2 linked regions of the Macaca fascicularis genome follow. The protein of the gene in region 2 purifies or fractionates together with the protein of the main gene of each other region. This does not show direct contact. Links are inferred from orthologs where the notes say so. Each region holds a gene or a part of one and is shown on either strand. Other genes may lie near its edges. The genes, in order: DDX6 and LSM14A.

Region 1 (11,294 bases), on a different chromosome or scaffold from region 2:
GGAGAATCGCTTGAACCTGGGAGGCAGAGGTTGTGGCGAGCCGAGATCGCGCCATTGCACTCCAGTCTGGGCAACAAGAGTAAAACTCCGTCTCAAAAAAATAAATTTAAAAAAAAATAGACTGATATTCAAAGTCCTCCAGGCAGGGCTTGGTGGCTCACACCTGTAATCCCAGCACTTTGGGGAGGCAGAGGTGGGTGCATCACTTGAGGTTAGGAGTTGGAGATTAGCCTGGCCAACATGGTGAAACACTCCTTCTACAAAAAATACAAAATATAGCTGGGCATGGTGGTGTGCGCCTGTAGTCTCAGCTCCTCGGGAGGCTGAGGCGCGAGAATCACTTGAACCTGGGAGGTGGAAGCTGCAGTGAGCCGAGATTGTGCCACTGCACTCCAGTTTGGGCAACAAGAGCGAAACTCCGTCTCAACAACAACAAGAGTAACAACAACAACAAAGTCCTCCATGCTATGCTTTGTCCTAATTTACTTCCCTAACACATCTCAGTTTTTCTTCTCTATCAAACTTATCTTCTTAGCCATCTGACCATCAGTCCCCTAAAACTTAATCCATGTGTTTAAAACTTACCTAGCCTAGAAAGCCAATTAAAATCTCATCTCTTCTCAAACCACCTCAGCCAATTATATTACTCTGCTACGAACACTTGGGATTACTTACTATACACATACTTCCCATTTGCAAGTCACCTTTACTGCCTTGTGGATCTAGTCCAGTGAATGATTTTGTAAACAGTTTTACTACAATATAGCCATGCCCATTTGTTTATGTATTGTCTAGGCTACTTCTGAGCTACAATAGCAAAACTCTGTAATAAAGACCAATTAATGTGCAAACTCTAAAAAATTTACTATTTGGCACTTCATAGGAAAAGTATGTGGGCGCTTCCTTAGACTCCTAATGTTTACCTTTTTATCTCTCCAATTAAACCACACTCCCCCAAAGGGGTGGTATTTTATATATGCCCTTCAGTATTGGTCCTTCAAGAACTTATCTGAAGAAACCTTGCAAGCAAGTAATGATTTTTAAAAGCCCAACTGTTGGACGCGGTGGCTCACACCTGTAATCCCAGCACTTTGGGAGGCCGAGGCAGGCGGATCACCTGAGGTCAGGAGTTCAAGACCAGCCTGGCCAACATGGTGAAACCCCCATCTCTACCAAAAATTAGCTGAGTGTGGCAGCGGGTGCCCACAATCCCAGCTACTTGGGAGGCTGAGGCAGGAGAATCACTTGAACCCAGGTGGTGGAAGTTTCAGTGAGCTGAGATTATGCCACTGCACTCCAGTCTGGGTGACACAAACTCCATCCACCCCCCCCACCAAAAAAAAAAAAAAAAAGAAATCCTAGAAGTATTGGTAGGGTGTGCTGGACTATGTCACAGGGTGCACCGTGCAGTATGAACAAAGAAAGCAAAAAAGAACTTGGGAGAAAAACACTGGGTAAAGGAAATACAAAAATACTTACCAGTGCAAACAAGATTGCGGCATAAGCCATTTCGGAAATCATGAAATACACGATTTCGATGTTCCTAGGAGAAAGCAATTTATTCCATTTGATTAGCACTCATATACAGCCCCAAATTTCCCATGATTATTTCTCCTAGTCGATCGGTTCTACCCAAAACCTGTTTATAAGTGATCCATGACATTAAGCTGCTTTCAAAACCAAATATGAGTTAAGTTATTGATCTCTTCATCTACAGAAACTGTTTACTTACGAAATTTCATAATGTAGTTAACAAAAAGTCATTTTGTTAAGTTTTAAATTATTTTTTGCTAAATCAAATTCTGAAATTTAGACATTGCATCTTTCTCTAAAGGCAAACAGTAAAGAAAAAAGAAAAATCAGCTAGCTGAGGGGCCATATTTAAAAATCCAGAGCAATGCTGTCCAGTAGAAATTTCTGTAATAAAGGAAATGTTTGTGTCTGTACTTCCACTTCCAATACAGTATCCAGCAGCAACAGGTGCCTAACTGAGCACTTGAAACGTGGCTGTGATTGAGAAACTGACTTTTTATTTTAATTTTTTTTTTTTTTTTTTTGAGACAGAGTCTCGCTCTGTCGCCCAGGCTGGAGTGCAGTGGCGCTATCTCGGCTCACTGCAAGCTCCGCCTCCCGGGTTTACGCCATTCTCCTGCCTCAGCCTCCCGAGTAGCTGGGACTACAGGCGCCCACCACCTCGCCCGGCTAATTTTTTTGTATTTTTAGTAGAGACGGGGTTTCATTGTGTTAGCCAGGATGGTCTCGATCTTCTGACCTCGTGATCCGCCCGTCTCGGCCTCCCAAAGTGCTGGGATTACAGGCTTGAGCCACCACGCCCGGCCTTATTTTAATTTTAACTGATTTAAATGGCCACATGTGGCTAGTGGTTACTGGATTAAACAGAGAATTAAACATGGGAATGAAAGGAAGAATACAATTTTACATTTGTATTATGCCTGACAGCTTACAAATTTAAACATTTACCTTAATTTTCCTAACTACCTTGTAAGTTATGAATATGTACTATTATCTCTATTTTATTGCTAGAAAATGAACCTTAGGTAGGTCAAAATGAAAGGTCCTTTGGCTACTAAGGAACAGTTTATTCTTAAACTCAGGACATTTAAAAGAACATTAAAACAAAATAAAATCAGAGATTTCTTGTTAAATTTGTGCAAGTTCTAGTTTTATACTCACCTGCCTCATTTTAGCATGAATATAGAAGCAAGAATAACCCAGTTGAGAAATCTTCTTGGCTAGTAATTCAACTCGCTGAGAGGAGTTACAGAAAATGATCGACTGGTTTATCTGAAGCTGAGCACAGAAAAAATAAGTATGAGAAAAATTAAAACCTTCATTTGGCTTGCCAAATCTTGAAAACACTAACCAGCAAACAAGAAACATTAACATGGTCTAAAATTTAGAATCTTATGATATGAGAGAGATGGTAAATTCTAAGTACTTTAATAGATGGAATATAATAATATCTAAGATTTATTGTATTAGAGTATATTTCTTAAGGGCCACATAACTGTCAACAAGAGTAATACAATTGATTATCTGATTCCAAGTAGTTATGTTTTGTTTTTCCATTTAAGAATACGTGTGTGTGTGTGTGTGTGTGTGTGTGTGTGTGTGTGTGTGAGAGAGAGAGAGAGAGAGAGAGAGAGAGAGAGAGAGAGAGAGAGAGAGAAATGGAGTTTCACTCTTGTTGCCCAGGCTGGAGTGCAATGGTACAATCTTAGCTCACTGCAACCTCCACCTCCTGGGTTCAAGGGATTCTCCAGCCTCAGCCTCCTGAGGAGCTGGGATTACAGGCACCCACCACCATGCCTGGCTAATTTTTGTATTTTCAGTAGAGACGGGGTTTCAGCATGTTGGTCAGGCTGGTCTCGAACTCCTGACCTCAGGTGTCTGCCCACCTCAGCTTTCCAAAGTGCTGGGATTACAGGTGTGAGCCACCGTGCCCAGCCAAGAACATCTTTAATATACTCACAACCAATGCCACTAGCACTGGGCAGCACTTCAGCACCATGAGTAGGGGTCAATTAAAACCGTGAAATCAGCAACAAAAATTTGAAAAATATGGCACAGTGAAAAGGATACTTGTTCACAGTATGAGAGCTAAACAAGAGGACAGAGCATTGTCTTCTTCAACCTCAGCTGGGTATGTGCGTGTCAGGTGACTTAAACTCTTTGCCACACTGTACACGTCCACAAATGACTGCTAAACTGCCTTGAGTATTAATTCTGGAGTTACAAATAAATTCTAGTGACTAAGCAAACTCACAAATACAGAATATGTGAATAATGAGTATTAACCCTAGTAAAGGTCTAAGTATTTCAGAAACTATTCAAAAGTGTATCTGTGACTTGTTAATCATTTAGTATCAACTTTAGGTCAACAATTAAAACTGCCTTTTAGGAAACACTATGAATTTTTTAAAAACTTTTTTTTTCCTTCCCGAGATGGAGTCTTGCTCTGTCGCCCAGAGCTGGAGTGCAATGGCGTGATCTTGGCTCACTGCAACTTCTGCCTCCTGGGTTCAAGCAATTCTCCTGCCTCAGCCTCCCAAGTAGCTGGGATTATGGGCACGCACCACCACGCCCAGCTAGTTTTTTTGTTTTTTTGTAGTAGAGACGGGGTTTCTCCATGTTGGCCAGGCTGGTCTCGAACTCCTGACCTCGTGATCCGCCTGCCTCAGCCTCCCAAAATGCTGGGATTACAGGCATGAGCTACCACGCCAAGCCAGAAACACTATGAACTTTTATACAGTGAAGATGGTAGGAAAACTGATGAAATAATCTGTTTTACTGGGACTCGAGAGATAATATTCAACAGCAGAAGCCTACTTCTTACCCTGGAGAAAAGTGTGTTGAGGCAGTGTACTTTTTGGCGCTCAGTTACATATGCGTAGTACTGGGTTACTCCCTTCAGAGTTAGTTCCTCCATCAGGTTAATCTCATAGGGTTTCTGCAAATGGGAATTCTGGGAGGGGAGAAAAAAAAAGATGGTTCTTCTTAAATGAAAGCAGAGTTCATCTCAAATTCAAAATATACCCACCCTATAGGTTTCTGTCTAATCAACTCTTGCTATAAGGGATGCAACTCTCTTCAAAACAAAATATATGATCTGTCATTACAGAATTTTCCCCCCGCTGCCCTGAGATGGAGTCTTGCTATCACCTAGGCTGGAGTGTAGTGGCACCATCTCCACTCACTGCAACCTCCACCTCCTGGGTTCAAGTGATTCTCCTGCCTCAGCCTCCCGAGTAGTTGGGATTACAGGCACACGCTGCCACAACAGACTTATTTTTGTATTTTTAGTAGAGACGGGGGTTTCACCATGTTGCCCATGCTGGTCTCGAACTCCTGACCTTGTGATCTGCCCACCTTGGCCCCCCAAAGTGCTGGGATTACAGGCCTGAGTCACCACGCAAGACACGTTAGAAATAAATTAAGATATAAGATCTCAAAAATGCAGCTAAGTTACTACAGGTTAAGTATTCCTTATCCAAAATGCTCAGGAACAAAAGCGTTTCAGGTTTTAAATTTTTTCTAATTTTGGAATATGCGCATTACACTTAGTGACTGAGCATTCTTAATTTGAAAATTCAAAATCAAAAGAACATTTCCTTTTAGCATCATGTTTGTGGCTCAAAAGGTTTCAAATTCTGCAGTATTTTGGATTTCAGTTTACGATACTCAAACTCTATTTTGTATATAGAATAATACTGGAATCAATTCAGCTAGCACCAATGGCTATGTCATCATGACACCAAAAACTAAGAGAAAAATGAGGAATTTAATTAATTACTATTACAACCTTCTTAAAAAGTCAGTTAATTTATGTAAAACAAATCTTTAATTGATCAACTGAAGAAAGAGCCAAAGGCTTGAAATAATTAGTATAAAGTATTTTCACAGATAGGAAGATGTAATTATGAATAAAAGCATACTCATAGATCATAGGATGGCACTGATTCCAAGTACAGATTTATACTCACCATGAACTTCTGTACACTAAGAGGGAAAGTAGCGGAATATAGTAAAATCTGCCTGTTTTTAGGTAGCGTGAGAATAATATCCTCCATTATCTGCACAAAATCCTGTGACAGCAACTTATCTGCCTGCAGTAGAAAGAAAAGACAATTTTAAAAACAATAAAATAATGTCTAAGGTCTTTGGTTAATACATGGTCAAAGAATAAGGCATCATCCAACAAAAGCATCCATGAAATGTTCCTGGTGGAAAACAATAAATTCTCTCCAACACTGCAGAGTCAAATATGCATAAGGGGGCAGAATCTATGATCCCCATCTTCTAGGGGAAAAAAAAATTCTACACTACACAGATAAACCTCCCCCCTTCTATAACAGAATTTAATTAATTAATTTATTTTTAGAGACAGCATTTCACTCTGTCACCCAGGATGGGATGCAGTGGCATAATCATAGCTTACTGTATGCAGCCTGAACCTCCTGGGCTCAAGTGATCATCTTGCCTCAGCCTACCAACCTACTGAGAAGCTGGGACTACAGGCACATACCACCAAGCCCAGCTCAACAGAATTTTAATGTGATGATTCTCATTAAAGAGGTAGTATTGTATATGTGTTTGAAAGTACAGGTTCTGTCTGTGCACGGTGGCTCACGCCTGTAATCCCAGCACTTTGGGAGGCCGAGGCAGGAGGATCACGAGGTCAAGAGTTCGAGACCAGCCTGACAAACATGGTGAAACCCCATCTCTACTAAATATACAAAAATTAGCAGGGTGTGGTGGATTGCACCTGTAATCCCAGCTACTTGGGAGGCTGGGGCAGAATAATTGCTTGAACCTGGGAAGTGGAGGTTGCAGTGAGCCGAGATCACACCACTGCACTTCAGCCTGGGCAACAAAGCAAGACTCTGTCTCAAAAAAAAGTACAGATTCTGGAGCTAAACTGCCAGGTTGAAATCTTGCCTCCTTCATTTCTTAGCTGTGTGGGAATGTTACAGAACTACTCTGTACTTCAGTTTCCACAACTGTAAAACTGTAAAACTAAAATTTGGATGTTTACATCATGTAGTAACTACTTTACAGGGATTTAGAAAAAACTTGGCTAAGGTCAGGTGTGGTGGCTCACACCTGTAATCCCAGCACACTGGGAGGCTGAGGCGGGCAAAGCATTGAGGTCAGGAGTTCAAAACCAGCCTGACCAACATGGAGAAACCCTGTCTCTACTAAAAATATAAAATTAGCCGGGCATGGTGGCACATGCCTGTAATCCGAGCTACTCGAGAGGCTGAGGCAGGAGAATCGCTTGAACAAGGTTGAGGTTGCGGTTGCGGTGAGCTGAGGTTGTGCCACTGCACTCCAACCTGGGCAAAGAGACTCCGTCTCAAAAAAAAACCAAACCAAACCAAACCAAAACAACAAAAAAGAAAAAACTCGGCTTTCAAGTTATCCAGCCACTCCTCTTCTTAAAAATTAAACCTAAACTCTGGCAAGTGTAAGAAAAAGACAAAAGCTGAATTCCTACGAATGCCTAACTACTGCATCTGAAGTATAAAACATATTTTATAAGCAAATTAAAATCTGGATGTCTACATACTATAGTAACTACTTGACAGGACACCTACCTTATAGGTTTCTTGTAAAGATTAAATGAAAAAAAAAAAAAAAAAAAGTAAAGCACTTAGTGTTGGTACCCAGTGACTAATAAATGTTTTCTCTCATTACTTAAAGATAAAAGCCTGATTTGAATTAAATGTTACCTAAAACACAAACCAGGCCGGGTGTGGTGGCTCACACCTGCAATCCCAGCACTTTGAGAGGCCGAGGCGGGAGGATCACCTGAGGTCAGGAGTTCAAGACTAGCCTGGCCAACACGGCGAAAACCTGCCTCTACTAAAAATACAAAAATTAGCCAAGTGTGGGTAGTACACATCTGTAATCTCAGCTACTCAGGAGGCTGAGGCATGAGGATCACTTGAAGCCGGGAGGCAGAGATTGTAGTGAGCCGAGATCACGCCACTGCACTCCAGTCTGGGTAACAGAGTGAGTCTGTCTCAAAAAAATAGTAATAATAATAAAACACAAACCAAATGTGAAAATAACCTCATGTCAAAACATTAACACTGATACACTACAGATCCTCCTTGACTTACAATGGGATTATGTTCTGATAAATTCATCCTAAGTTGAAAATACTACCCAAACCTACTGAACATCATCACTTAGCCTAGCCTCCTTGAAACATGCTCCACTTAGCTTATAGTTGGGCAAAATCACTTGACAACACCGTATACTGTACAGTATCAGCTGTCTACCCTCAATGATCATGTGGCTGACTGGGAGCTGCAGTTTGCTGCTGATGCCCAGCATCATGGGAATATCATATAGCATATTACTAACCAGGAAAAAAATTAATCTTAAGAATTCAAAGTACGGTTTCTAATAAAAGCTTATCACTTCCACTGAAAAACCATAAAGTGAACCATCGTAAGTCAGGGACCATCTATATATGTACAAAACATGGCTAGATCCCAGGACTACAGATTTTAATAAGTTTTTAAAAGGCATTTATAACATGGTGAGATAATATGTCTAACAGAGATTAATAACCAAACACTACAAAGTAGTATGCACAAAAGGAGACAATATATATTATATGCTTTTAAAAATTAATCGCCGAGGCTGGGCACGGTGGCTCAGGCCTGTAATCCCAGCACTTTGGGAGGCTGAGACAGGCGGATCACGAGGTCAGGAGATGGAGACCATTCTGGCTAATATGGTGAAACCCCGTCTCTACTAAAAAATACAAAAAACTAGCTGGGCGAGGTGGCGGGTGCCTGTAGTCCCAGCTACTCGGGAGGCTGAGGCAGGAGAATGGGCATAAATCCGGGAGGCGGAGCTTGCAGTGAGCTGAGATCCGGCCACTGGACTCCAGCCTGGGCAACAGAGCGAGACTCCGTCTCAAAAAAAAAAAAAAAAAAAAAAAAAATTAATCGCCGAGTAGAAAGAGATGTAGAATAAATTTGGCTTTGCGGTTATTCACTCCTCTTCTAAAAAATGAAAATAAAACCTAATCTCTGCTATCTCTAAGAAAAAGACAAAAAGGAGAATTCCAATGAATGCCTATAATCTACTCCCGCTGACAGGTAAAACACATTTTATAAGCAAATTAATTTAAACTGATCGCTTATGTGTTTACTAGATCATAAACACAAGCAGCTTTTGCTTCATTCACTGGCAGTTATAAGCAAAGCACAGAAAAGTACAGAATAGTATAATGCCAAATGAAGAGATATTACCTCATCCAACACTATCATCTGGACATGATCAACCTTTGCTACTCCCTTCTTAATAAGATCCAGGATTCTCCCAGGGGTAGCAATCACCACGTGCACTATGCAAGATTTAGAAAACATATATTCTCATTAATTTTAATTTGGGCAAAAAGGATATTGTAAAGGTTTATCATATTACAGTCCTCAGTTGCTTAATGATAATTCTGAGAAATGCATTGCTATGCGATGGTACAGCCTACTCCACTGTATAGCTCCATTATAATCTTATGGGAACACCGACATACATGCGGTCTGTCACTGATCAAAACATTGTTATGCAGCACATGACTATCTTTTATCAGAAACACTAGGCCGGGCACCGTGGCTCATCCATGTAATTCCAGCACTTTGGGAGGCCCAGGTGGGTGGATCACATGAGGTCAGGAGTTCGAGACCAGCCTGGTCAACATGGTGAAACCCTGTCTCTACTAAAAGTACAAAAATTAGCTGGGTGTGGTGGTGGGAGCCTGTAATCCCAGCTACTCAGGAGGCTGAGGTAGGAGAATCGCTTGAACCCAGGAGGCAGAGGTTGCAGTGAGCCGAGACCACACCACTGCATTCCAGCCTGGGCAACAGAGTAAGACTGTGCCTCAAATTAAAAAAAAAAAAAAGAAAGAAAAGAAACACGGCCGGGCGCGGTGGCTCAAGCCTGTAATCCCAGCACTTTGGGAGGCCGAGACGGGCGGATCACGAGGTCAGGAGATCGAGACCATCCTGGGTAACACAGTGAAACCCCGTCTCTACTAAAAATACAAAAACTTAGCCGGGCGAGGTGGCAGGCGCCTGTAGTCCCAGCTACTCGGGAGGCTGAGGCAGGAGAATGGCGTGAACCCGGGAGGCGGAGCTTGCAGTGAGCTGAGATCCGGCCACTGCACTCCAGCCTGGGTGACAGAGCGAGACTCCGTCTCAGAAAAAAAAAAAAAAAAAAAAAAAAAAAAAAAAAAAAAAAAAAAAAAAGAAAAGAAACACATTGTGTTATAGAGGTGGGAATAACACAAAAAGGTCCAAAGATGTGTTTTAGGATAAAGTCTTCCATTTCACCGCAGGATGCTTAAAAAATACTTTTCACCTCTACACTGGGTGGGGTACAGCTTCCCAAATCACCTGCTTCCAACAGGAGGCATACTTTCTTGTCTTAGGGTAATTCCCAATTAATAACAGAAGGCACACCAGACTTCTGACATAAAAGCAATGCCTCTAATCTGGAACAGTGAACCGAGTATTGTTAAAAGGATCAAACAAGATAACAATTTTTAAAAAACCTATGCAATACAAAGAATATATCACATAATTATATATAGTATTCTAACTAAAATTTTAGATATAATTTTATGAGTGATCTCATTCTTGCTGTTTTGTTACCTTTTTCCACTCAGCAATGTATCATGAAAATCTTAATGAAAATGAATACAGATCAACTTCACTCCTTAATGACTATGTAGAATACTATTCAGACTATAATGTATTTATTTAGCCAATCTCCTTCTAAGTTGGTCCAATTTTTTGGCACGACAAACCACCCCATAGTAAACAACTTTGTACATACAGCCCTACATTTACCCAACTTTTTTCTTCAGGAAAGATTCTTAAAAATATAATTTATAATTTTAAAATAAGACTGCCAAATTGCTCATGATAGAGATAAGTTGACACCCCCACGTTTACAACATAGCCTATTTCTCCACAAACTCACATTAATGTCTACTACTACTTTTAGCTTTACCAATTAAACAGGTAAAATTACTATAAACTTGCTGTTTTAGAATTAGTAATAAAGTCAAATATTGCTTTCAATTACCGTCAATCTGTTTTTTTCTCTTGAATGCAATGGTCATTTCCTTTTTTTACTGCAGGATTTCTGTTCCTTAATTCTTAAAAATAATTTTTAATAATTTACTGAAACACTTGAGACTAAAATTACAGAGAGCTACACTACCTTTTAGTAATCATTTCTTACCTGTATCATCAAGCCTCATTATGTCATCTCGTAAATTGGTTCCTCCTGTGGTTGCCATCACTTTGGCCCCTCCCATGTGTTTGCTGACCTGGATGCAAATTTGACTGACCTGTAGAGCAAGTTCTCTAGTGGGAACAATCACCATTGCTGAAACAACATCAAGGAACATATGAGAAAATATGGGGTGAGGTGGGAGAACATACTATACATTATATTTACAAAATTCAAGAAGCTACAGAAATACTGCCCCTTATGATGCAGTGGCTCAAGCCTGTAATCCCAGCACTCTGGGAGGCCAAGGTGGACAGATCACGAGGAGTTTGAGAGCAGCCTGACCAACACGGTGAAACCCCACCTCTACTAAAAATACAAAAATTATCCAGGCTTGGTGGCACGCAGCTGTAATACCACCTACTCAGGAGGCTGAAGCAGGAGAATCACTTGAACCCTGGAGGCGGAGGTTGCAGTGAGCAAAGATCACGCCACTGCACTCCAGCCTGGGCGACAGA
Region 2 (11,294 bases):
GTCAGAAGTTTGAGACCAGCCTGGACAACAGGGGAAAACCCTGTCTCTACAAAAAATACAAAAAAAAAAAAAAAAAAAAAAAAAAAAAAAAAAAAAAGAAATCTAGCTGGGAGTGGTGGTGCACGCCTATAATCTCAGATACTTGGGAGGTTGAGGTGGGAGGATGGCTTGGGCCTGGGAGGCAGAGGTTGTAGTGAGTCGGGATCGTGCCACTACACTCCAGCCTGGGTGTCAGCCAGATATTATCTCCAAAAAAAAGAAAACAAACAAAAAAAAACCCAAAAACCAAAAACACCAATAATACAAATCAAAGTCAAGTTTTCTAAATAGTTCTATTTGTTGTTAGAATATATCCTACTAAGTGCGTAAAAGTCATCTGAATTATTTTTTCTTCTGTGTGATTATCAATTTAATATGTAATAGCATCTGTGGTATCTCTGTTCATATTCATTCAGTTTTATCTATTTTTTTTTAGACGGAGTTTCGCTGTTGTGGCCCAGACTGGAGTGCAATGGCACGATCTCAGCTCATTGCAACCTCTGCCTCCTGGGTTTCAAGCAATTCTCCTACCTCAGCCTCCCGAGTAGCTGGGATTACAGGCATGCACCACCACGTCCAGCTAATTCTGTATTTTTAGTAGAGGTGCGGTTTCTCCATGTTGGCCAGGCTGGTCTCGAAATCCCTACTTCAGGTGATCTATCCCGCCTTAGTCTCCCAAAGTGCTGGCATTACAGGCGTGAGCCACCGCGCCCAGCTCATTCAGTTTTAGTTTGCTTTTTTTGCCGTTCTTTTTTATTTTGTGAATAAGTAAAACATTTAAATGCTTAAGTCACACCTGTATAAAAAGTATATTCATTGGAAGGAATTTAATAATATTAATAAAACTTGTTAGCATATTAATGAGTGTCAAGATACACCTGAAACTAAATTTGTGGTGCAGTGAAACAGTAAACTGATAATATAATTATTTCAAAGAAATTTTAAAAGATTAGGGGCAAAAGCTTGAGATTTAAAGTTGCTTTTTTTTTTTAAAGCTGTTCTTTACCGTGGGAATAAAGGTGTACTTAAACACTAAAATGCACAGCTATAAAAACAAAACAACACTGAGCTAATCTGATTACATCCAGCTTTTGCACTCAATAGCCCTTGACCCTCCAGCCGTAAGTAAGCCTGTCATTCGCTCAGCCCTGCTATACATTCTCATTAGTTTTGTTTCAAACCCAGTGTTACAGAAACAAAACACCAAGCCCTCAATCATGCTATGTGTATCTTTATGTGTGCATGTCTTATGTATGTTTAAAATAAACGTTTTAGGCCAGGCTTGGTGGCACATGCCTGTAATCCCAGCACTTTGGGAGGCTGAAGTGGGTGGATCACTTGAGGTCAGGAGTTCGAGACCAGCTTGGCCAACATGGTGAAACCCCATCTCTACTAAAAATACAAAAAAATTAGCCGGGAGTGGTGGTGCACACCGGTAATCCCAGCTACTCAGGAGGCTGAGGCAGGAGCACTGCTTAAACCTGGGAGATGGAGGTTGCAGTTAGTGGAGATCATGCCACTGTACTCCAGCCTGGGCAACAGAGTGAGACTCTGCCTCAAAAAAAAAAAAAAGAAAAAAAAAATTGATTAATTAAAATCCAGGCCAGGCACAGGGGCTCACCTGAGGTCAGGAGTTCAAGACCAGCCTGGTCAACATGGTGAAACCCCACCTCTACTGAAAATACAAAAATTAGCTAGGTGTGGTGATACATACTGTAATCCCAGCTACTTGTGAGGCTAAGGCACGAGAATTGCTTAAACCCAGGAGGCGGAGGTTATAGTGAGCCAAGATAGTGCCACTGGACTTCAGCCTGAGTGACAGAGTGAGACTTTGTCTTAAAAAAAAAAAAAAAAAAAAAAAAAAATCCAATTACCAATAAGATTTGGTAGATACTGGATATACCCAGGTGTAAAAAAAATGTTACCTCGTGAAAACTGACTTTTAAAAACCCACTAATATCATTAAGAATATTAAATAAAGGCTTTAAGATATCATCAAAATATGTTCTGAATGCCATAAAACAAAGTTACAAAAGGAAACATCAAACAACATTTCTAAAAGTTTGTGTTGAGTTTCTATAAACTCAAAGAAAGGAAGAATACAAAAACAAACAAAAAAATAAAAGAAAAAGAAAACATACCAACACCAACAGCACCAAACTGCTGCCCAACTAAGGAACTTGGACTGAACTGACTGTATGTGGGCATCCTGCCGAAAGGCCCGTAAGAACCCATGGACTGGAATGAAGAAGTCGATGAGCCTAGTGAGGACTGAAGGAAAATCATGAGTTATCTTTCCAAGCTCTAAGCAACATGTATATAATGAAAAAAATTTCCAGATTTTTACACTTTTAAGAAAACTATTAAAACTACTAAATATAAAACGAATTACAACATGCACTTAACATTAAAATAGCCAAACGACCTTCTGATTTCAATATTTGTCTATAATGTGCCAATTATACTCAATGTAACTTACGAATACTTTTTCTACACTAAACTCCCCATTTAAGAGTTTTATAGATTGAGGAAAGAAAGTTACTTAAGTACAGTAACTTTGCTTAAAGAAAAATATGAGAAAAATCACACTTAGTAATAATGGGTTTTAGTCTGATGCTGATATAAATCTCACATGTGATTTCACTCTTATTTTCAATCATTTGAGGCCTACTATTATATTCACATGAAAGAGATGCAGAAACAAACATATCCCACATAAAACCATTTACATGTTTACTTATATTAAGTGGAGGAACATTTTATAAAAACTAACTTAAACCTAAAGCATATAAAATATATAACATATACTAATACATGTACTTCATATATTATCTTATTATAAACTGTTTCATAATATAAACATGAAGTGTATTAAAGGCTACCAGGACATACATTCACTGATGGCAGGACCTTTTCTTTGTGTTCACTACTAGTGTTAAGTACATGCCAGACACTCTGTAAATACTACGGAATGAATGAATAAGAAGATCAAGCAGAAGTTTGTGATGACTGGAAGAAGTTACTCAACACCATTTTCATATGCACTCTCTTAGTTTTTCTCCTTCTATAAAACTGATTACTCAAATAACTGGTTTCCTGGAGAATTATCGAAAGCCATATAAAAGAGACGGTAAGGTAACACCAGTGTTTGGTGTAGGGAGCTATCTCTATTAAGAAAGTGTCTCTTCCTTCTCCATTTAAAGAGATTTACATTTTCGGCCAGGCGCGGTGGCTCACGCCTGTAATCCCAGCACTTTGGGAGGCTGAGGCGGGTGGATCACGAGGTCAGGAGATCGAGACCATCCTGGCTAACACGGTGAAACCCCGTCTCTACTAAAAATATAAAAAATTAGCCGGGCGTGGTGGCAGGCGCCTGTAGTCCCAGCTACTTGGGAGGCTGAAGCAGGAGAATGGCATGAACCCGGGAGGCAGAGCTTGCAGTGAGCCGAGATCGCGCCACTGCACTGCAACCTGGGCAACAGAGCAAAACTCTATCTCAAAAAAAAAGTAAATAAATAAAATAAAGAGATTTACATTTTCTCCGATTCTTTCAGGTTTCCTTTCACCAAAATAAGACTTAACAAGGGTAGGAGTAGATGATTAAAAAGTTTAAATTGGGAGATTTAAGAGTTGACCTAAATATGTTAAAATGCATTTATGTTTGTGTTTTCTTATTATATAACATTGTGGGCCAGGCACAGTGGCTCATGCCTGTAATCCCAGCACTTTGGGAGGCTGAGGTGGGCGGATCACCTGAGGTCAGGAGTTTGAGACCAGGCTGGCCAACATGGTGAAACCTCATCTCTACTAAAAATACAAGAATTAGCCGGGCGTGGTGGTGTGTGCCTATAGTCCCAGCTACTCAGGAGGCTGAGGCAGAAGAATCGCTTGAACCAGGGAGGCGGAGGTTGCAGTAAGCCGAGTTCGCGCCACTGTACTCCAATGACTGTTTCAAAAAAAAAAGGAAGAAAAAAAACCCCCCAACATTGCATATCGTAACATAAGCAGAACAATGTGATTTCGCTTTTTGTTCCCCATTAAGCCTAATAATCTTACCTAAGAGTACCTGTTATTGCCCTGGTTTGCAATATAAACCCTATCTCAATAGCATGGTAGCACGGATTCTAGATTCTAAAGCAGGCTGCCTGGATCTGTTCAAATAGTGACTCTACCTGAATTTCTTCACTTGTTAAAAGTGAGAATAATTATGGCACCAACCTCAGAGGGTGTCTTATATGTACACCACTTCCACAGCGTAGCCTTCAAGGTTAGCTACCGCAATTGTTGTTGACATTAGAAAATATTTCATAACAAATTCTTCAGCTGTTTCTTATCTTAGTTCTAATTTATGATTAGAGAAAAACCTAGATGAGAACATTATCCAGTAATTTCAGGTATCCAGGTAACTTGAAAATGATAAGCTACATGAACATTCAACTGGAAAGAAAAAAGCCAAGGCTATCCCTGTGTGGAGTTTACCTGTACTCCAAGACAAATTTACCATCAGTTACCTGAACGATAGCTGGGTCTTGAGGCAAAGAACACTGTGGTTTTGGTGGCTCACAAACAGTAAGGTCTTTAATGTCACTCCCACGGAATATAATGTATTCAAAGACTTCATCTCGAGGTGGTATTGGACGATCTGTCGGTCTGTCTTCTGTACCAAAGGATCGAACTGGCAAGAAAACAAAGGATATGAGATGTGTGACTACTCATTACATTCAGGTAGTACCCCAGATTCTAAGTGTTGTATTTCAAGTACTAAGCAGTAGTTCTGAAATGTCTGAGAAAGTATTCATTAATCTATAGCTAAATAATTTTTTTAAAAGAGGAAAATAGAGTGGGTTTTGCCTGAAGTTAAATATACGCAATATAAAAGACTATCAGTATTACAAGGTTGTGCTCCTCTTATATTTTTATTTATTTGTATCTTTAGTGGTTGTAGTGAGGTGTTAAAATGTCCTTTATTTATTTATTTATTTATTGATGAGCCTGGGTCTCTGTATCCCAGGCTGGAGTGCAGTGGTGTGGTCACGGCTTCCTGCAGCCTCCGTTTCCCGGGCTCAGGCAATCCTTCCATCTCAACATCCCGTGTAGCTAGGACCACAGGTATGTGCCACTAAGCCCAGCTAATTTTTTTTATTTTTTAGTAGAGATGAGGTTTTGCTATTTTGCACAGGCTGGTCTTGAACTCCTGGCCTCAAGAGATCTTCCTGCTTCAGTCTCTCAAAGTGCTGGGATTACAGGCCTGTGCCATTGTGCCTGGCTCACTGTTAATTTATTTACCTTGCTGAGCAGTAAGTCCTCTAGAAGCCAAGCCGAGTAGCTGCCAGCTATTCAGGCCCATGGGACAGCCTGAAATACCCTAGTTACCTAAAATATCTACCATATAATTAAATCTGATTATTTTAACAATGAAGATAGCATTACTCAAAGTTAAACCAGGGACCACCTGCAACACAGTAAGCTGGCTACAAATAAAGATTTCTACTGAATCTTTTTGCTGGGGACATGGTCCAAAAATCTGCATTTTAAGCCAATTTCTGGCTAGGCACAGTGGCTCACGCCTATAATCCCAGCACTCTGGGAGGTCAAGGTGGGAGGACTGCTTGAGCCCAGGAGTTCAAGACCAGCCCTAGCAACATAGTGATGTCCTGTCTCTACAAAAAATAAAAAAACAAATTAAAAAAATTAGCCAGGTGTGGTAGTGTACGCCTGTAGTCCCAGCTATAAGGAGGCTGAGGTATGAGGGGATCTCTTGAGTCTGGGAGATTGAGGCTGCACTGAACCGTGGCTGTGCTCCTGCACTCCAGCCTAGGTGACAGAACAAGACCCTATTTCAAAATAAATAAATAAAATAACCAAATCCCAAGTTTCTTATAAATACAAAAGTTTCAGGTTCATTGTCCTGGGAGATTTCTGAAAATGTCTGCATCCATAGAGAAGTTCCAAATAGAGAATATGAAACATCATATACTATTCATTTTAAAGAGTATCCTAAAGGAAGTAATAAACCCCTTAACATTTTTTTTTTTTTTTTTTGAGACGGAGTCTTGCTTTGTCACCCAGGCTGGAGTGCAGTGGCACGACCTCCACTCACTGCAAGCTCCACTTCCCGGGTTCACACCATTCTCCTGCCTCAGCCTCCTGTGTAGCTGGGACTACAGGCGCCCGCCACCACGCCTGGCTCATTTTTTTAAACGTATTTTTAGTAGAGACGGGGTTTCACCGTGTTAGCCAGGACGGTCTCGATCTCCTGACCTCGTGATCCGCCCATCTCGGCCTCCCAAAGTGCTGGGATTACAGGCGTGAGCCACCGCACCCGGTCCTTTTTTATTTTTATTTTTTGAGATGGAGTCTCACTCTATTGCCCAGGCTGGAGTGCAGTGGCGCGATCTCGGCTCACTGTAACCTCCGCCTCTTGGGTTCAAGCGACTCTCCTGCCTTAGCCTCCCGAGTAGCTGGGATTATAGGCGTGTGCCACCACACCCAGCTAATTTTTGTATTTTTTTTTTTAGCGGAGATGAGGTTTCACTATGTTGGTCAGACTGGTCTAGAACTCCTGACCTCAAGTGATCCACCGCGCCTGGCCCCCTTAACATTTTTAATGCATATGCTTTTTTTGTTGTTGTTGCAGAACTGATGCAGCGCTAGATTAAGGATGAATGTCAGGCTGGATGCAGTGGCTCATGCCTGTAATTCCAGCACTTTGGGAGGCCGAGGTGGGCAGATCACTTGAGGTCAGGAGTTTGACACCAGCCTCAACAAAATGGTGAAACCCTGTCTCTACCAAAAAATACAAAAAATAATTAGCTGGGCACGTTGGTGTGCACCTGTAGTCCTAGCTGCTCAGGAGGCTGAGGTGAGAGGATTGGCAGAACTCAAGAGGCAGAAGTTGCAGTGAGCTGAGCCGAGATGGTGCCCCTGCACTCCAGCCTGGGTGACAGAGCAACAATCTGACTTAAAATAAATAAATAATTAAAAAAGAATATTATTTCAGTGTAAATAATGTCCTACACTCTTATTCTAAAAGTTCTTTCTAGTACTTATGAGACTTTCAGGAAAGATAGTGGCACAGGTAGTTTGGCAGAAGATCCTTCCCTAAAACTAAAGGAAAAAAACAAAAAGGAAGTTAAAATATCCCTAAAATCACGAAAAGTTCTCAAACTCATACCATGAAATTTTATTAAACAGTACAATTAAGGTACAGAATGAGTTAGTTGAAACTGAAAGACCAAGCCCAGAATCCATATGTAAGTATCCCTTGCCCTCTCCTCCCCTGAGAGAAATTTTGACTAGCATCTTCAACTTGCTAAGATGGGGACAGGGACACAGGTGTGATGAGGAAAAAAATGCGGAACGCCCTACCTGAAACTCCCCTTCTCTGGTGGCCAAACAGTACTTTAGCAGGCAGGAGGATTTTATATTTTTACCTTTATCCAAAAGGAAGGGTAAGGAGGAGAAAGGACTAATTACAAATAAATCAATCTCACCCCTAACCTCAGTACCATCACAGCGAATAAAGTCTCACGCTTCCAAAGTAGCAGATGAGATCATCCTGAAGCAGAGGGGGCAAGAGTCAAAGGCCCTTCTTCTACAAAACTAGAGAAGCTCTATTAAGCTTCCTAAGGCCTAATAGAGCTTAGCCAGGTGAACTCAGAGTGAAGTAAAAGAGAATCTGCATTTCACGTTTTCGCAAGCAGCAGATACTGAAAGGACCTACTAAGGAAAAAAAAGTAGAAACATCAGGGAATCAAGATAAATTTTACAGGAAAGATGGAAAGAAGGGAAGAAAAGAGGGAAAGGAGGGAGGCAATGATGGAAGGAAAGAAAAAGGTATATCAAAATAAAGAAAAAAGGCAGGAAAGAAGAGAAGAATCAAAGAGGACACGGTCTTCATTTGCTTATTCTGTTTTTTTCCACTACCAGCGGTTTGCCCTGACAGAGAGGACACAGTCTTCAAAAGGTGGATGAAATACATTCAGTATCAGTATTTATCACAGAAAATAGAAGAAATTTTCTGAAAGGACTGCTTCGACATTCACAAGAAAAACAGCATAGACTCTTATGATCAAAACAACACTGAAAGGGTAGCATGCAGAATTAAGGAAAGAAAATTATACAAGATAAATAAAACAGCATAACTAATAAATGCATCAACAGTCAATGCAGTTAAAACCAAATCACTAGAAGACAATAATTTTGAGAAAACGTAAACGAGATGTCATGAAAAAGTAGTACAGTAATAAAAAGGTTAGAGAAAAGATGATAGTTATGAAGATCCAACAGTTAACTACTGCCCCTGAGACAGACAAAAGAATAAGAGAAAATAAAATTAAAGTTATAACAGAATAGAAATGTCTTGACATGAAGGTCTAAATTTCATTAAAAGTTTTCACTGTATTTCCAGGAAAAAAAAAAAACATCAGACCACTACAAGCCACAGAGACTTATGTTATGGTATATCAAAATAAAGAATGCAAAAAAAGTGGCATCCAAAGATAAGAAATGGACAATAAATTCATTTAAACAAAGATGTGTACATGACAATTTACTATGGTTCTAGAATAGAAATAGTTCTGGAAAAGACTAGAAAGTTACAAAGTGTAACAAACTAAGAACAGTATATCACAACATTTTAACAAAAATTGGGAGATTAAAATGAATGGAGAAAAAGGAAAACTGAACAGACAGTAGTAGTATCTAAACTTACACTTTCATCTCTCATCATGTCAAGTAGGAGTCACTTGACACATTTTTTTTTTTTTTTTTGGTTAGTTGACACTAAGCGAAGGCTTTAAAATTTTTTATTTGAAAGAATTTGTTAAATTCTACTATGGGTCTTGGAAATAACCCATAGTAGAATTTAAAACCAAGAGCATACTTTCCAAAATATGGTATGAAGAAAAACTCTATCATATGGCAAATGAAGCAAACTGAAAAAGCATGAAAACAGAAATCACAGAATAAGAATGATTTGCACACACCAAGAGTTTGAGAAACATGCTCTAATGATGGAGGCTGGCTTAATAAGATTTGGGGTTTTCAGTGCAATCAAGTTCTTGTAGTATTGTGAAGAACAAATTCCACAAGACAGATTAGAAGGGCACATATGGCTAGAAGATACTGTTACAGAACAAATGAGAAGTCTGGAAGGTTAAAACTTGAGCATTAAGAGTAGAGAGGAAGGAGGCATGACAAGCATAGAAAAGGTAAAGAGCTACCGGAACTATTCTACTACAACACATACATTAGCTCATATGCAATCAGTAAATAAGGGAATTATGTCAGTACATTCAGAAATCACATTGGTTCATTTCCAGTTTTTCCTAAAATGTTATTTAGTTTTTGCATTTGCAGGTAACAACAGTTAAATACACCTAGCCATGAGTAGTGCCATCACTTCTGGTTACCTTTACTGTTTTTAAAGGGAAAGTTATAAATTTACCGAATTATTTGTTTAAAAATTTTAACTTATCTTTAAGCACACTAGTATTTTTTATTAGGTTTACATTAGTGCTTAAATTACAAAGATGCACAGATTTCTAATGGTCTGCTCCTAATCCTAGTTTTCCCATAAACCCCATTCCTCTTAGTGCAGGAAGGCATACCTCAGATTACAGCACAAATGCCTTTGCCTGGCTGGCAAAATCTGAATTATGTTCTAATTATTATTATTTTTTTCATTCATAACACATAGTACTTTGAGAAAGAACATTTTTACTCTATTATTCATTTTGGGATTCTACAGCAACTACACATTCCAATGTAAATACCCATAGGTAATGTGACTAGAGCTTTAAGCTGAACATAGGTGCTGTATGTCATTGCATTTCATCCCGTTTCTTTCAAATACTTACTGGGCACCACCTGTCCCAGGTCCTATGCTAGATGCTAGGGAAACCAGTTCCTATTCTCAAGGAGCTCAATCTATTTGCTTACTTGGATGTGATGTCACTGAATTGGATTTGAAGGTCCACTAAACACTCAATACCACTTGCAATGCCTCTAATAAGTACTACTATTGGTTTCTCAACATCCTAATCTCTGAAGCTAACACAGCATTAGGCTTCAGATTAAGCCATACTACTACTATTAAGTCAAAATGTAGCTGAATAGATACTGATCTGATTCTGGGATATCTGGGGGATTATCATGAATTAATGAAAATAATAATTCAGCAGGCTTAGAATATTTAAGTAATATTAGGCAGGCATTATATTTATGTCCTCACCCTCAGGGAACTTATAGTCTGGCAAGTGTGCTAAGCACTACACTGGAAAGAAAGCACACAATATAGTTTGCTAGGGCTGCCAAAACAAAGTGCCAGAGATTATATTATGTCCACACAGAAACTTGTATACAAATGTTTATATCAGCATTATTCATAACAGCCAAATGGTAGAAACAACCCAAATACCCATCAACAAATGAAAAGACAAATTACGTTCTCTATATATCTTATATGTATGTTATATATATTTTAAAATACATGTAATGAAATATTATTCAGCCATAAAAAACCCACAATGCTGATACTTGTTACATCAAGAGTGAAGCGTGAAAGCATTATGCTGAGTAAAAGAAGCTAGATACAAAACGTCACACAGTGTATGATTCCTTTTACATAATATACCCTAAATAGGAAAAGCCATGAAGACAGAAAGCAGGTTAGTGGTTAACAGGGTATGGGGGAAATAAGGAGGGATTACTTAATGCCTAGGGATATTTTATTTTAGTAGGATTATGAAAAGTTTTGAAACCAAGGAGAGGTGGTAGTTGCACAACACTGTGACTACACTAAGTGCCACTGAATTGTACACTTTATAATGGTTAATTGCATGTTATGTGAATTTCAACTTCAAACATACATGAGCACGCACACCTACAAATACAGCCTACAAGAGAATACAGAAAATGACAAAAGTAGTTGGGGAGAATGGGGAAACTAGGGGCGGTTGTCCTCTACATTTTAAACTTCATCATGTTGCTACATTGCTTTAATAATGTTTTCTTTCTTTTTTCTTTTATTGAGACAGAGTCCCTTCTCTGTCATCCAGTCCAGGCTGGAGTGCAGTGGTGCCATCTCGGCTCACTGAAACTTTTACCTCCCAGGCTCAAGTTATCCTCCCACCTCAGTCTCTTGAGTAGCTAGGACTACAGGCACACACACTACACCTGGCTAATTTTTAAATTTTTTGTAGAGATGGGGTTTCGCCATGTTGCCCAGATTGGTCTCCAATTCCTGGGCTCAG

The links.
Region 1: the proteins of LSM14A (region 2) and DDX6 purify together in Homo sapiens (affinity purification with mass spectrometry; 4 studies listed by BioGRID and IntAct, with this or other methods). This does not show direct contact. The link is inferred for Macaca fascicularis from reciprocal best matches to the Homo sapiens genes LSM14A and DDX6.

The regions. Positions count from the first base shown.
Region 1 is NC_088388.1:117,618,505-117,629,798, forward strand, and holds part of DDX6 (probable ATP-dependent RNA helicase DDX6), read right to left. Parts: intron 10,933-11,294; coding exon 10,786-10,932; intron 8,888-10,785; coding exon 8,793-8,887; intron 5,628-8,792; coding exon 5,505-5,627; intron 4,487-5,504; coding exon 4,358-4,486; intron 2,812-4,357; coding exon 2,695-2,811; intron 1,544-2,694; coding exon 1,480-1,543; intron 1-1,479.
Region 2 is NC_088393.1:41,494,194-41,505,487, reverse strand, and holds part of LSM14A (protein LSM14 homolog A), read right to left. Parts: intron 4,715-11,294; coding exon 4,551-4,714; intron 2,311-4,550; coding exon 2,181-2,310; intron 1-2,180. UniProt on the Homo sapiens protein: Essential for formation of P-bodies, cytoplasmic structures that provide storage sites for translationally inactive mRNAs and protect them from degradation. Acts as a repressor of mRNA translation. May play a role in mitotic spindle assembly.